Linked DNA regions of Oryctolagus cuniculus. The protein of the gene in region 3 interacts with the protein of the main gene of each other region in a biochemical or structural test. Links are inferred from orthologs where the notes say so. Each region holds a gene or a part of one and is shown on either strand. Other genes may lie near its edges. The genes, in order: HJURP, MIS18A and OIP5.

What was found.
Region 1: the proteins of OIP5 (region 3) and HJURP form a complex in vitro, tested with the Homo sapiens proteins (2 studies listed by BioGRID). The link is inferred for Oryctolagus cuniculus from reciprocal best matches to the Homo sapiens genes OIP5 and HJURP.
Region 2: the proteins of OIP5 (region 3) and MIS18A form a complex in vitro, tested with the Homo sapiens proteins (3 studies listed by BioGRID). The link is inferred for Oryctolagus cuniculus from reciprocal best matches to the Homo sapiens genes OIP5 and MIS18A.

The regions. Positions count from the first base shown.
Region 1 is NC_091434.1:5,620,365-5,624,844, forward strand, and holds the end of HJURP (Holliday junction recognition protein), read left to right. Parts: exon of another isoform or gene 1-101; coding exon 102-1,590; exon of another isoform or gene 1,591-3,159; coding exon 3,160-3,208; 3' UTR 3,209-3,296; downstream 3,297-4,480. UniProt on the Homo sapiens protein: Centromeric protein that plays a central role in the incorporation and maintenance of histone H3-like variant CENPA at centromeres.
Region 2 is NC_091435.1:12,608,446-12,612,806, reverse strand, and holds part of MIS18A (protein Mis18-alpha), read right to left. Parts: intron 2,664-4,361; coding exon 2,541-2,663; intron 1-2,540. UniProt on the Homo sapiens protein: Required for recruitment of CENPA to centromeres and normal chromosome segregation during mitosis.
Region 3 is NC_091443.1:64,435,314-64,439,674, forward strand, and holds part of OIP5 (protein Mis18-beta), read right to left. Parts: intron 2,199-4,361; coding exon 2,076-2,198; intron 1-2,075. UniProt on the Homo sapiens protein: Required for recruitment of CENPA to centromeres and normal chromosome segregation during mitosis.

The DNA.
Region 1 (4,480 bases), on a different chromosome or scaffold from region 3:
TGTCATTGTCATTATTGTCATCGTTGCTTTGAGAAGGTCGCGGTCCGGCCTCGAGTTCCATGATGTCTGCACAGGGACGTGTGACTGTGTGTTTCTCCCAGGGTGCCGTGGTGGGGTCTCTGGAAGCAGCCCCGGGGGCCCGGCTAAGCCGGCCTCGCCGCCCCAGGAGCAGTGCCCCCTGCATCCTGGCTCCACAGACACGGGCACGGAACACCAAGACGACAGCCTCTGCTCCCTGGGGACGGACGGGAGCGGCCGGTCCTGGGCGGCTGAGGAGCTGTGCGACGTGACCATCAGCGAGCTGTACGCGGGGATGCTGCGCTCCATGAGCCGGCTGCTGAGTGCAAAGCCGGCGTGCGTCATCTCCACCAGAGCGTCTGTGCTTCAAGCCTGGAGCTGCAGGCGGCGGCACAGGTGGAGGAGCAGGCTGAACAGGACGTACTGCGAGGCGGGCAGGCGTTCCCGGGGGAGCTCCTTGCACCCACCCCTGCCGGGGCCGGAGCCGGAGCCGGGTGCGGGACCACTGAGAGACTGCGAGAACCTACTCGATGTTTCTCGCCGTAAGGCGGGTTTTAAATTGGAAAGGGCTTGTCTTGAAGGCAACAAATCCCAGGTGCAGACGTCCGATCCGGGCTGGAAGGAGCTGCAGCTGACGCCACGGAGGAACTCGGCTCCGGCAGGCTCGGACGTCGGAGCGGTGCGCGCCCTGGGCCGGGAGCGCAGGCTCGGGATGCTGCAGTGGCTGCTTTCCCCTGTGAAGCTCATCTCTGGACCGGCAACGCCACAGGGCCCCCGCGGGGAGCGCTACAGGGAGATCCGGGTCCGATTTGAGAGACTGCATCGGGAGTACGCCCTGAGCCCCGGCAGACAGCCTCGCCACACGGGCCTCGCGGACTCCTGGGCCGTGGGCCTGTACAGCGGCGGGCCGGTGAGCCCAGGGGGTTCCTGGAGCTTCGAAACCCACAGGCCGGGTCTGTCTGTGAGAGCGAAGGGCAAGACGTTGAGGGAGGCCTTCGAGCGCCTGGGCAGATCCGTGGACTCAGGCCAAGGCCGGCCAGAGGACGGTCCCTCTCCCTTGCCTGCAGGGCCCAGCCCCGTGCCGAGCCCAGGCCGCCCGCAGCAGGCGAGGAGCCTTGTCCCGGGAAGCAGCCCTGGCCCGCTTAGGAAGGCGGCGTCACCCGGCGGAGCTGTTCCAGGACCCAGGACAGAACCTCTGGGCTGCGGGAGGAATCGTTACGATGAGATTAAAGAAGAGTTTGACAAGCTGCATCGGGAGTACTGCAGCACGGCACCGCGGCCGGGCGCAGCGTCTCCAGACACGGCAAGTGCGCAGGCCCGGCACCGGACAGACGATGTCCTGGGAAAACCGAACCCGGACTCCCGGTCCCAGAAGTTGTCGCTGTCAGCCCAGTGGCACAGAAGAGGCGCACTGGGCTCGAGCGCAGTGGAGGACGGGGCGTCTGCTGGAGCCACCAGGGGCGACCATTGGTCCCCTGCGAAGCGCCGCAGGCTGCCAGACCCCCAGCTGCGCGCACCCCAGGCCGACTCCTGGGACTCCCCAGGCCCGGACCACCCAGCGGGGAAGAGAAGGTGAGTTTGTGTAGCTGGGGCTGGCGGCTTCCTGCGGTAGTGACCTGCGTGTGCCTTTGGACAAATTCCAGAACATTCTTGGGTATTTGTTTCTAAGCATTCTCTCCCCTCTTTTCCTTCCTCTAAACCAGCGTTTCCATTAGGAATGTGTGTGAGCGTGCACACGTGTGTGTGTGTGAGAAAGACGCATCAAACGCGTGTTCTGTGATGTCACGTGTGTATAACATCACGTGTGGGCGCGCCAGCAGCAGATTGAACAGGCTGCGTCGTCTGCTGTCGGCCAGAACCCTTCCGAGAGGGAGCCCAGGAGGGCGGCCCAGCCCTGGGTGCGGCGCAGCAGGCTCCTGGTCTCCGCCAGTGCTCCCCCTGGAGCTGGGCTCGCTGGTGGTCCCGGGCCATTTGCCCCGCCCCCTCAGCCCCCTCCTGTGCCCCTTGGGCTTTACAAGACCAACACACCAGCCGAGTGACTGGCGGCCAGCGTTGCAGGGGTTCTGGGAGGGGGAAGCCTCAGACAGCCCCCAGCCCCTTCTTCAGGGAACGGCCTTGAGCGCAGTGCTACGCCTGCACGCTGCTGCCAGCTGCCCTCTGAGGATAACCTTGGTCCTCGTAAAAGGCAGGATTTCACCGAAGACAGTCCCACCCAGAGAGCCACGCCGGGCCCCCGGAACTGCCGTGTGCTGTCCTGCTGTCTCCACTGTTCTCCAGTGCCCTGCCCAGCCTCCCGTTCCTTCACTGTCATCCCGCCCTGGGCCCCCCGGGCCCCTGTCCCACCTGACCCCAGTGCAAAATCACTTCGTGCCTTTTCACCTGCTTGGCCTAAAGGCCACGTGGAGGGGACAGCTTTACAGACAGGTCCGTGTTGTGAGCAGGCGCCCCGGCGCCTGCAGGGAGGCACTTAGGTCCCCCTGGAACTTGACCGCCGGTCTCAGTGGCCAGCACCAGACGCCATCTTAAGGCACAATGTGAGGGCGTTAAACCATTGTGACCAGTCTGAGGAAGGGGCCAGATCATCCTCGTGCTGTCTGGGTCTCCCATGTGGCTTCCAGGGACCCGCGTACTTGAGCCACCACCTGCTGCCCACCAGGTGCAGTAGCAGGGAGCTGGAGTGGAGGTGGCGCCTGGTCTCAAACGCAGGCCTCTGCAGTGGGATGCAGGCTTCTCACACGGGGTCTTAACCACCAGGCTAACCACCGCGTGGAGAGAACCCTCCCATCGGATGAGGTCGGCAGAGCAGGCGGGTTCTCCCATTTGTAAATGAGGCAGTGAGCTTCACTCTTAGGACCTCTGTGTTGACACGGGCAGTGCAGGGTGGCCGGCGTCAGAGAGCCGGGGACTGTGTAGTCTCTCTCTTTGGCCAGCACTGGAGAGCCGGGGACGGGCCACAGCTGCACTGCCTGTGTGGGGATCGCTGTTGAGTTTGTGTCTGATTCCTTGGGGCATCTTCTACCGTGAATACAGATACTTCTGTGCACGCCCTGGGATGACCAGAAGGCAGGGGGCTGTGTGGGGCCTGGCTTTGGGGGCCCTGTCAGATGGGGGTGCAGTCGGATCTGTCTTTTCTGCCCGCAGAGGCGAGAGCACGGCTTTCCAGATGGACGGGCGGAGTGACTGTCGCTAGAAGGCAGCGCCGGCGTCTCCACCGGGCGGTGTGCAGCGCTGCCCCCTTGCTCTCTGGTTTGTGGCTTTTTCTTCGTCATCACAAAGACGGGAGAACCTGGTTGGCTTTTCTGCCCTTAGACAGATTTCAGCAGCACCCACTCCGTCAGACGGCGCTCGGGCCCCGGGACGAAGTCTTGGAAATAAAGTCGCTTAATTAAAAAACTCCCAGACGTCTCTGGAGACCCGTCTTTCTGTTTCCTTTGAACGGGGACGTTTCCGGCGACACGTGCCCCGCCTCCCGCATCACGAGGACGTCGTCTGGGTACGGAGCCGCGCAGGCCCTGCCGTGGGGAGCAGAGGGGGCCGCAGCTGCGCCGTCTGCAGCTCAGCCCCTGCGCCAGAGCTCCGCGTCCTCCCCGTGGGGGGATTTCACAGCCCGGAGCCCCTTCGTCCAGGAGCAAGGAAACAGCGGGAAGAAGTGGGCCCCGCGGCCCCAGTGTCGCCGGGGCACCGTCCAGCGCACTGTCTCATTAGACCCGGCTTCCCGGAAGACAGCCGCCTCGCCAACACCGGACGGCTCAGCTCAGCCTCCTGAAATAACGCTGGAGCCCAGGTCAGTGGCTTAACTGCTTCCGAGGTCACGATGCCAGCAAGGTCAGGTATGCTGGGAGCTAGAACCCCACCCTAGGAATGTGAGGGACCCACGGGTCAGCCCACCGCACCGTGAGCGGTCAGCCTGCTGGTGGCCAAGAACCCGGCCAAAGCCTCGCCCCTCGGCAGGGTCGGCTTTAACAGGCGGCCTGGCTCAGTCGCGGCTGGCGGAGGGGCCCTGCCCACCCTCTAGCCATTCTCGGCCTGCTGCTTGCTGAGAGCCCGGCCCACGCATTTCCCTCGTCATCCTTGCCCGGGGTGCTGGGGCGGTGCCGAGTCTCCCTGGCCGGGCTGCGTGCTCCCGCTTCCCATCTCTGTCCGCGTCTTGTGGAGGAGGGCCAGGGCCGGGGGCTGCCCCGGCGGGCGTCTCGCGTGTTAAGAGCTCCAGGTAGACACTGTGCTCCCCCGTCCTGGTTGTCTGCAGACGGGGACAGGTGGCCGTCCTCGGCACACACCTGGAGGAGAGTTGTGTGTCAGGGCAGGTGTGTCTTGGGGTCCCCGCCTACTGCCTTTTCACTTCCCCAGGGCCTGGCCCGGCTGCTCTGGCCTGCGGTGCCCGGGGGCTCCCGGGGCTGTGAAAGGTCACAGCACAGATGGCAGGGCCGGCGCCCGTGCTCCAGGACGCTGCTTCTCTGCTGGT
Region 2 (4,361 bases), on a different chromosome or scaffold from region 3:
GGGAGAGAGCAAGAGCACGACCTCCCGTCTGTTGTCTCACTCCCCAGTGCCCGCAATGGCCAGAGCTGGAAACTCGATCCAGTTCTCTCACGTGGGTGGCATGGACCCAACTACTTGGGCCAACTATGTGCTGCCTCCCAGGGTGTGCGTTAGCCAGAAGCTGGAATCAGGAGCTCAGAATTAAACCCAGGGACTTTGGGGCCGGCGCTGTGGCACAGCGGTGAAAGCCCTGGCCAGCAGTGCCGGCATCCCATATGGGCACCAGTTCGAGTCCTGGCTGCTCTACTTCCAATCCAGCTCTTTGCTATGGCCTGGGAATGCAGTAGAAGATGGCCCAAGTCCCTGCACCCACATGGGAGACCCTGAGGAGGCTCCTGGATCCTGATCAGCTCAGCTCCACTGTGGTCATTTGGGGAGGAAACCAGTAGATGGAAGACCTCTCTCTCTCTCTGGCTCTGGCTCTACCTCTCTCTCTCTCTCTCTCTGACTTTCAAATAAATAAAATAAATCTTAAAGTAAAATATAATAATAAAATAAAATAAACCCAGGGACTTCAATGTGGAACACAGCTGCCTTAACCAGTAGGATAAACACCTGCTCCTAAATGAGACTTTAAGTAATAAATTGTGGTGGTCAATACTTGATTAACCAAATGTCAGCAACTGTAACAGTTATTCTCCAACTTACACTGTGTTTGCCTCTCATTGTTACAAGATGCGATGGTTTAGGAAAGTAGGAAGTAGCAGAAGAATCAGCTGGCAATGGAGGGAAACCAGCTCTGGGCTGGCAACCAGCTACATCTAAACAGTAAGGACGGAGATGCCAGCATCTCTCAAAGAAAACTCGAGGGGCCAGGGCTGTGGCGCCAGCTCCCGGCATCCCACAGCGGAGTGCTGGCGGGAGTCCCCGCAGCTCTGTCTCTGCTCCAGCTTTCTGCCAATATGCCTGGCAAGGCAGAGGAAAATAGCGTGGTAGGCAAACTGCAGAAGGCAACCGACATCCTACTTAGAAAACCAAAGATGCGGTGGGAAAATGACATGGCACCGAGCAACTGATAAAACTGTAAATAAATGGCACAGAGGGCAGCCCTGGCATTACAATTCCACCCCAAGGGGCCAGTGCTGTGGCATAACCGGTTAAGCTACCACCTACAAATCCAGCATCCCACTTGGGTGCTGGTGCTAGTCCCTAACGTTCCACTTGCGATCCAGCTCTCTCTAATGCACCTGGAAAAGCAGCAGAAGATGGCCAAGTCCTTAGGCTCCTGCATCCATGTGGGAGACCCAGATGGGGCTCCTGGCTCCTGGCTTTGGCCTTGTCCTGCCCTGGCCCTTGCAGCCATTCGGGCAGAGAACCAGCAGATGGAATATCTCTCTCTCCTCACTCTCTCCCTCTGTAGCTTTGCTTCTCTCTGTGGCTTTGCCTTTCAAATAAATAAATCTAAAAAATACACACACACACAAACTTATTTTTTTAAAAAAAATTCTGCCCAAGAAGTAGCCTGTCTCCTAAAATCAACTGTTCAGGAAAAACAGCCTTGACAACCATGATCTCCTGCAGTAAAACCTCCCACGTATTTTCTTCTGTAACACAATATCGCTTTTTAGAAAAATTACTCTCATTTTATTTGAAAGGCAGAGAAAGACAGGAACCTTCCATCCACTGTTCACTCCCCAAATGCCTGCAACACACAGGGCTGGCCCAGGCCGAAGCCAGGAGCTTGGAAGTCAGTCTGTGTCTCCCACATGGGTAATAGGGACCCACCCAAGTACCTGAGCCAGCATCTACTGCCTCCCGGGTTTACATCAGCAAGAAGCTGCATCAGAATTAAAGCAGGCCCTGTCCTATGGGTTGGGGACATCCCAAGCAGCAACTTAACCACTGAGACATAGCCCCAGAAAATACTTAAAAAGAATCCTTCTCAAGTTCATTCCATTTTTAAAAACAAATGAACACAGGCCAGCGCCGCGGCTCACTAGGCTAATCCTCCGCCTTGCAGCGCCGGCACAAAACCGGGTTCTAGTCCCGGTCGGGGCGCCGGATTCTGTCCCGGTTGCTCCTCTTCCAGGCCAGCTCTCTGCTGTGGCCAGGGAGTGCAGTGGAGGATGGCCCAAGTACTTGGGCCCTGCACCCCATGGGAGACCAGGAGAAGCACCTGGCTCCTGCCATCGGATCAGCGCGGTGCGCCGGCCGCGGCGGCCATTGGAGGGTGAACCAACGGCAAAGGAAGACCTTTCTCTCTGTCTCTCTCTCACTGTCCACTCTGTCAAAAAACAAACAAACAAAAAAGAACATATTTTTACTCCAAAAAAAAGCCACAATTTAGGAGTGCTGATTTTTCCAATATCAAAAAATTAGAGCAAAGCAAAGAGAAAAACAGAGAGACAGAGAGAGAAATTAACTGGCTTTAATGTCAGAAAGTACTACCTGGAAATGTCGTTTAAGCGTGGTTTAGCTCTGACGTCTTCATAGCAATTTCTCTGCAAACTTAACTTTCTGAGAGGTCAGTTACCCAGCGGTCACTTAAATATCAAACTTACCTTTCAATGGCTTCAACACTGAGGCAAAACAAGTCCCTCTTGTAATCAAGGCTCTTGGGGGTGCATCTGTATATGTAGCCGAGGTTGAGGGAGCAGCCGACGCAGTACAGGGTCTCGAGGACGCTGCGTAAAGACATAGCACCGCTTTAGGAAGCAAAGCAGCAACTTGCTACAGAACACCCACTGCTGGCACCCACAAACGCTTCAACACTCAGGTTTCCAGGGTTTGTCATTCTGACCATGTTTAGTTACATGTATTCATATAAGGAAGGAAAAAGATGAGAGTAAGACATTTATAATAGAAATGCAAGGACAGCCACACTGCCATCCACATCTGACGGCAGGAACATGCACACGGCAACAAGAGGAGGAGACCATCAAGTGCATGTGTTACGGCGCAAACTCTGCGGCCAGGGCTGTGCCCCAGCAGGTTAAGCTGTCGCTTGAGATGTCAGCATCCCATATGAGGCAGGTTCAAGTCCCAGCTGCTCCACTTCCAATCCAGCTCCCTGCTAACATGCTTGTGAAAGTGGCAGAAAATGGTCCAAATGCTTGGGCTCCTGCTACTCACATGGGAGACCCGGATGGAGTTCCAGGTCCTGGCTTCAGCCTGAATTAGCCGTGGCTGCTGTGGCCATTGGGGAGTGAACCAGCGTATGGAAGCTCTCTCTCCCTCTTTCCGTAATGCTATCTTTCAATAAATAAATCTTAAGAAAAATAAAGAATGTAAACTCTTTGATTATAAAGAAAATTGGGAAATAAGACAAAAAGATTCTATGCGTCCTTTTAATGCCATTGTCCAAGGAGCCCAACAACGGCAGGGAGAGGCAACTCCTGTGTAATGACGCAGAGAATAACTAATCCTTACTACTGGCCTCTGCCGTCACGGCACGAAAACAGCTTACAGACACTGCAGAACTCAATCACCTGGGTTCACAGAGAGGCATCCAGCCCAGGGCCTCTGCCTGCCCCCGCATTGGCAGAAAGCTAACACAGCCCAGTTTAGAAAAAGCCTCTAAAGTTAAATGACAGCCTGAAGAAAGCCCACCAATGCACCGTAAGTGAGTTTAGTCTGGCAGGGACACAAACCATCCCTGTGAGTAGCAAAGCAAGCCCCAAAGGCTGAGGGGCCATAACTCGATCTGCCGACCCTGAACCAGCTTCCAGCTCCCTCGTTAAGGGGTTTTTAAAAAGTCTCGGATGTGTGCCTGTGATCTGTGTGTTAGAGCTGCCTGTTAAAGGATCTACTCACCACCAGCACTCTCCCAGCAACCCCAGGCACGCCCCACACAGGTCACTCACACGTACTTCATGACCCGCCGCCTCTCCACTTACTTGTTCCTTCATCCTGGACTCTCCTCAGCCTGGCTTGCAACATCTGAATATACTCCCTTCCTGTCAACCTGTCTTCCTTAATCTGCCTCAGAATCACCGTTTCCAAAAAGCCTTGCTGACTTGGCTCATTCAATTTGCCACTACGTGAGTAATCCACAGTAAAATTTTAGACCTAACACAGCAAATTAATAAGTGGAGATTTTTCTTCTCAGACTTAAAAAAAAATTTTACTTGAAAGGCAGAGTGATGGGGATGGGGGATGGGTACGATCGTCCATTGGTTGGTTCACTCCCCAGATGTCCGCAACAACCAGCTCTGGGCCAGGCTGATGCCAGGAGCTAGAACTCTGTTCTGCTCTCCCACATGCATGGCAGGGGCCTTTTTTTCTTTTTTTTTTTAAAGATTTATTTATTTATTTGAAAGTCAGTGTTACAGAGAGAGAGAGAGAGAGAGAGAGAGAGAGAGGTCTTCCATCCGATGGTTCTC
Region 3 (4,361 bases):
ATGGGCGGCAATGGAGGGTGAACCAACGGCAAAGGAAGACCTTTCTCTCTCTGTCTCTCTCTCACTGTCCACTCTGCCTGTCAAAAAATAAAAATATAAAGACACATGATGTATTTTTTTAGAAAAACAAATTGTCAATAAATCATAAGAGACGCTATACCTCAATCTATTCCTTCCTAGAAGTAAAACTCTGCTAGGGCAAAATTAAGACAAACATGAATGTCAAAGGAATAATCGGGCTGGCGCTGCGGTGCAGTGGGTTAAAGCCACCGCCTGCAGCACCAGCATCCCATATGGGTGCCGGTTTGAGTCCTGGCTGCTCCTCTTCCAATTCAGGTCTCTGCTACAGCCTGGGAAAACAGTAGAAGATGGCCCAAGTCCTTGGGCCTCTGTACCACATGGGAGACCTGGCAGAAGCTCCTGGCTCCTGGCTTTGAATCAGCTCAGCTCTGGCTGTTGTGGTCATTTGGGGAGTGAACCAGCAGATGGAAGACCTCCCTCTGTCTCTGGCTCTACCTCTCTAACTCTTGTCTTTCATATAGGTAAAATAAATCTTTAAAAAAAAGGGGCGGGGGGAGAATCATGATGAGTGTAAGCTCTCCCAGTGGACCCTGAAGACTTTTACTGAAGCACAGTTTGAAGGACGGTCAGTGATCACATTGTGACAAGTGTTTCTTGCCTACCGGAATCTTGCTCACAGAATCCAGATTTTATCTAAGGCAGCAGTGTGCCCAGTCCTAAGAAATAAAACGTAACTACTCTAAGCCCATGGAGACAAGACTACGGTCACATATTTGACTCCCCAGGTTAAGGTGAGCACGCGACATGTTTACAGACATTCGAATAAGGACATTTTTGCTGATAAAAAGAGAACCTTGTGGGGCTGGCGCTGTGGCACAGTGTTTGGTTAAAGCCCTGGCCTGAAGCGCCGGCATCCCATATGGGCGCTGGTTCTAGTCCCAGCTGCTCCTCTTCCGATCCAGCGCTCTGCTCTGGTCTGAGAAAGCAGTGGAAGATGGCCCAAGTCCTTGGGCTCCTACACCCGCTTGGGAGACCCGGAAGAAGCTCCTGGCTTCGGATTGGTGCAGCTCTGGCTATTGCAGCCATCTAGGGAGTGAACCAGTGGATGGAAGACCTCTCTCTCTGTCTCTACCTCTCTCTGTAACTTAGTCTTTCAAATAAATAAATAAAAAAAACTTTAAAAAAAAAAAAACAAAAAACAAAAGGAGAACCTTGTGTTCTCCACTGCCCATATCTGTTTCTTTTCTGATGGGGTTGCATTAATGCTTATCACCGAAGGAGCCATCCTGTATAAGACAACAAGGCCATGAGAACCATGGGGATGGTGACCCAGAGCACTGTCAGGCCTCAGCTGGGCCTCAAAGAGGCACACGGAGCAGTCAACTGGCCCCACCACTTACTGAAAGCCCCTGGTAGGTTTTCTGTTATTAACAACCAGTCATTTTAATAAAACATAGATTATCTTTCCTGACTCATGCTACTTAAACTTCCTAATTTCTACTTAAAAACAATGTACTGGCCGGCGCCGCGGCTCAACAGGCTAATCCTCTGCCTAGCGGCGCCGGCACACCGGGTTCTAGTCCCGGTCGGGGCGCCGGATTCTGTCCCGGTTGCCCCTCTTCCAGGCCAGCTCTCTGCTGTGGCCAGGGAAGGCAGTGGAGGATGGCCCAAGTGCTTGGGCCCTGCACCCGCATGGGAGACCAGGATAAGTACCTGGCTCCTGCCTTCAGATCAGCGTGGTGCACCAGCCGCGGCGGCCATTGGAGGGTGAACCAACGGCAAAAGAAGACCTTTCTCTCTGTCTGTCTCAGTGTCCACTCTGTCAAAAAAAAAAAAAAAAAAAAAAAAAAAAAAAAGAATGTACTGACCAATCCGCTGCCTTCCCAGGCTCATTAGCAGGAAGCTGGATCAGAAGCACAGTATCAGCACCTGGATACCAGATGCCTGCAGCACAAGCAGTGACCCCTACAGTTATCTTTAAGAGGTACTGAGTGGCTGCAGCATCTTCTTGGGTCCCCAGTCTTTTCTGATAAACAGTACCAGATTTTACTCACCACACCATTTTGTCACTGGAAAGGCAGAAATGACCTCTCAAGGCAGCCAGGGCAGCATGAGTAGAATATAGATGGAAACCAATGGGAATCCCACAGGAATTACAGAACAAAAGGTTGTAAGTGCTGAGGGGGGAAAATAGAGCATGGGTAAGAAATAAAATCAGAGAATACATAACAGGTAATTAATCTCAGGGAACATTCCTATCACCTAAGACATAGGTGAGGGGCCGTGTTGTGGTATAGCAGAAAAAGCTGCTACCTGCTCCTGTGACACATTCCATATGGGTGCCAGTTCAGGACCCGACTGCTCTACTTCCAATCCAGTGCCCTGCTGATGCACCTAGGAAAGGAGGGGAAGATGGCCCATATGCTTAGGCCCCTGCACCTCTCTCCCTTCGTGGGAGACCTCGAAGAAGCTCCTGGCTTCAGTCTGGCCTAGTTCCAGCCATTGTGGCTGTTTGTAGAGTGAACCAGTGTATGGAAGATCTCCCTCCCTCTCTTTCTGTAAACTCTGCCTTTCAAATAAACAAATAATAAATCTTAAAAAAAAAAAAAAAAGACGACAAGGGGCCAGTGTTGTACAATCATGGGTAAAGCTGCTGCCTACAATGCCAATAGTTGAGTCTTAGCTACTACACTTCCAATGGCCTAGCCCAGCCCTGGCCATTGCAGCCATTTGGGGAGCGAACCAGCAAACAGAAGAGCGCTCTCTGTCTCTCTCTCTCTTTATAACTCTGCCTTTCAAATAAATAAATCTTAGGAAAAAAATACAACTGAAAATTACTATAATTAGGGATGAGTCTGCAAAAATGACACATTCAAGGCCGGCGCTGCGGCTCACTAGGCTAATCCTCCGCCTTGCGGCGCCAGCACACCGGGTTCTAGTCCCGGTCGGGGCGCAAGATTCTGTCCCGGTTGCCCCTCTTCCAGGCCAGCCCTCTGCTGTGGCCAGGGAGTGCAGTGGAGGATGGCCCAGGTGCTTGGGCCCTGCACCCCATGGGAGATCAGGAGAAGTACCGGGCTCCTGCCATCGGATCAGCGCGGTGCACCGGCCACAGTGCACTGACCGCAGCGGCCATTGGAGGGTGAACCAACGGCAAAGGAAGACCCCTCTCTCTCTCTCACTGTCCACTCTGCCTGTCAAAAAAAAAAAAAAAAAAAATGACACATTCAAGAGAAAAGTTTACTCAGACTTAATTAGACCCTAGGTAACAGATACCCTCAAGGATTCTGGCCAGAAAAGCAATCATGGATGCATAACTATCATGTCAGTAGAGAAAGGTAATTTACCCTTGTAAAGCAGAAAAAGTTAATTTGATTGATTTAAATATTTAAAGTGACTACCGTGTTTAAAATAGCTACCACTGTAAGAATTCACAGTTCATTAAAAAACAAGTTGATTGAAGGCTTACTGAACAATTTATTGATAAAACTCTGATTTTTCTTTTGCAGAATTTTAAAAATCAACTGAAAAATATTTAGATTCAAAGCAAAAGAAAGGAATCCAATACCCCAGCAAGCCATTTGTTTTCTTTTCCTTTATCCTCTGAAAGATTACTGTATCAAGCATCAAATAGTTGATTTTAGTTTTTGTTAAACGATTGACAAAACACCATATTTATAGTATATGAGACATATCCAAAAATTACAAAGAAACACTTTAAAAAAACCAAGGTCCAGCTGGTGCCGCGGCTCACTAGGCTAATCCTCCACCTTGCGGCGCCGGCACACCGGATTCTAGCCCCAATCGGGGCGCCGGATTCTGTCCCGGTTGCCCCTCTTCCAGGCCAGCTCTCTGCTATGGCCCGGGAGTGCAGTGGAGGATGGCCCAAGTGCTTGGGCCCTGCACCCCATGGGAGACCAGGAGAAGCACCTGGCTCCTGGCTTCGGATCAGCGCGGTGCACTGGCCGCAGCGCGCCGGCCATTGGAGGGTGAACCAACAGCAAAGGAAGACCTTTCTCTCTGTCTCTCTCTCTCTCACTGTCCACTCTGCCTGTCAAAAAACAAACAAACAAACAAACAAACACCAAGGTCCAACATTGAAGTGCAGCATTGCAATGCCAGCATCCCATACAGGAGCCCTGGTTTGAGTCCTTACTGCTCAGCTTCCAATCCAGCTCCCTAATATGCTGAGGAACGAGCAGATGATGGCCCAAGTACTTGGGTCTGTCACCCATGTGGGAGACTCAGATGGAATTCCTGGCTCCTGGCTTTGGCTTAGCCCTGCCTTAGCCATTATGGCCAATTGAGGAGTGAGCCAGCAGACAGAAGATCTCTGTGGCACT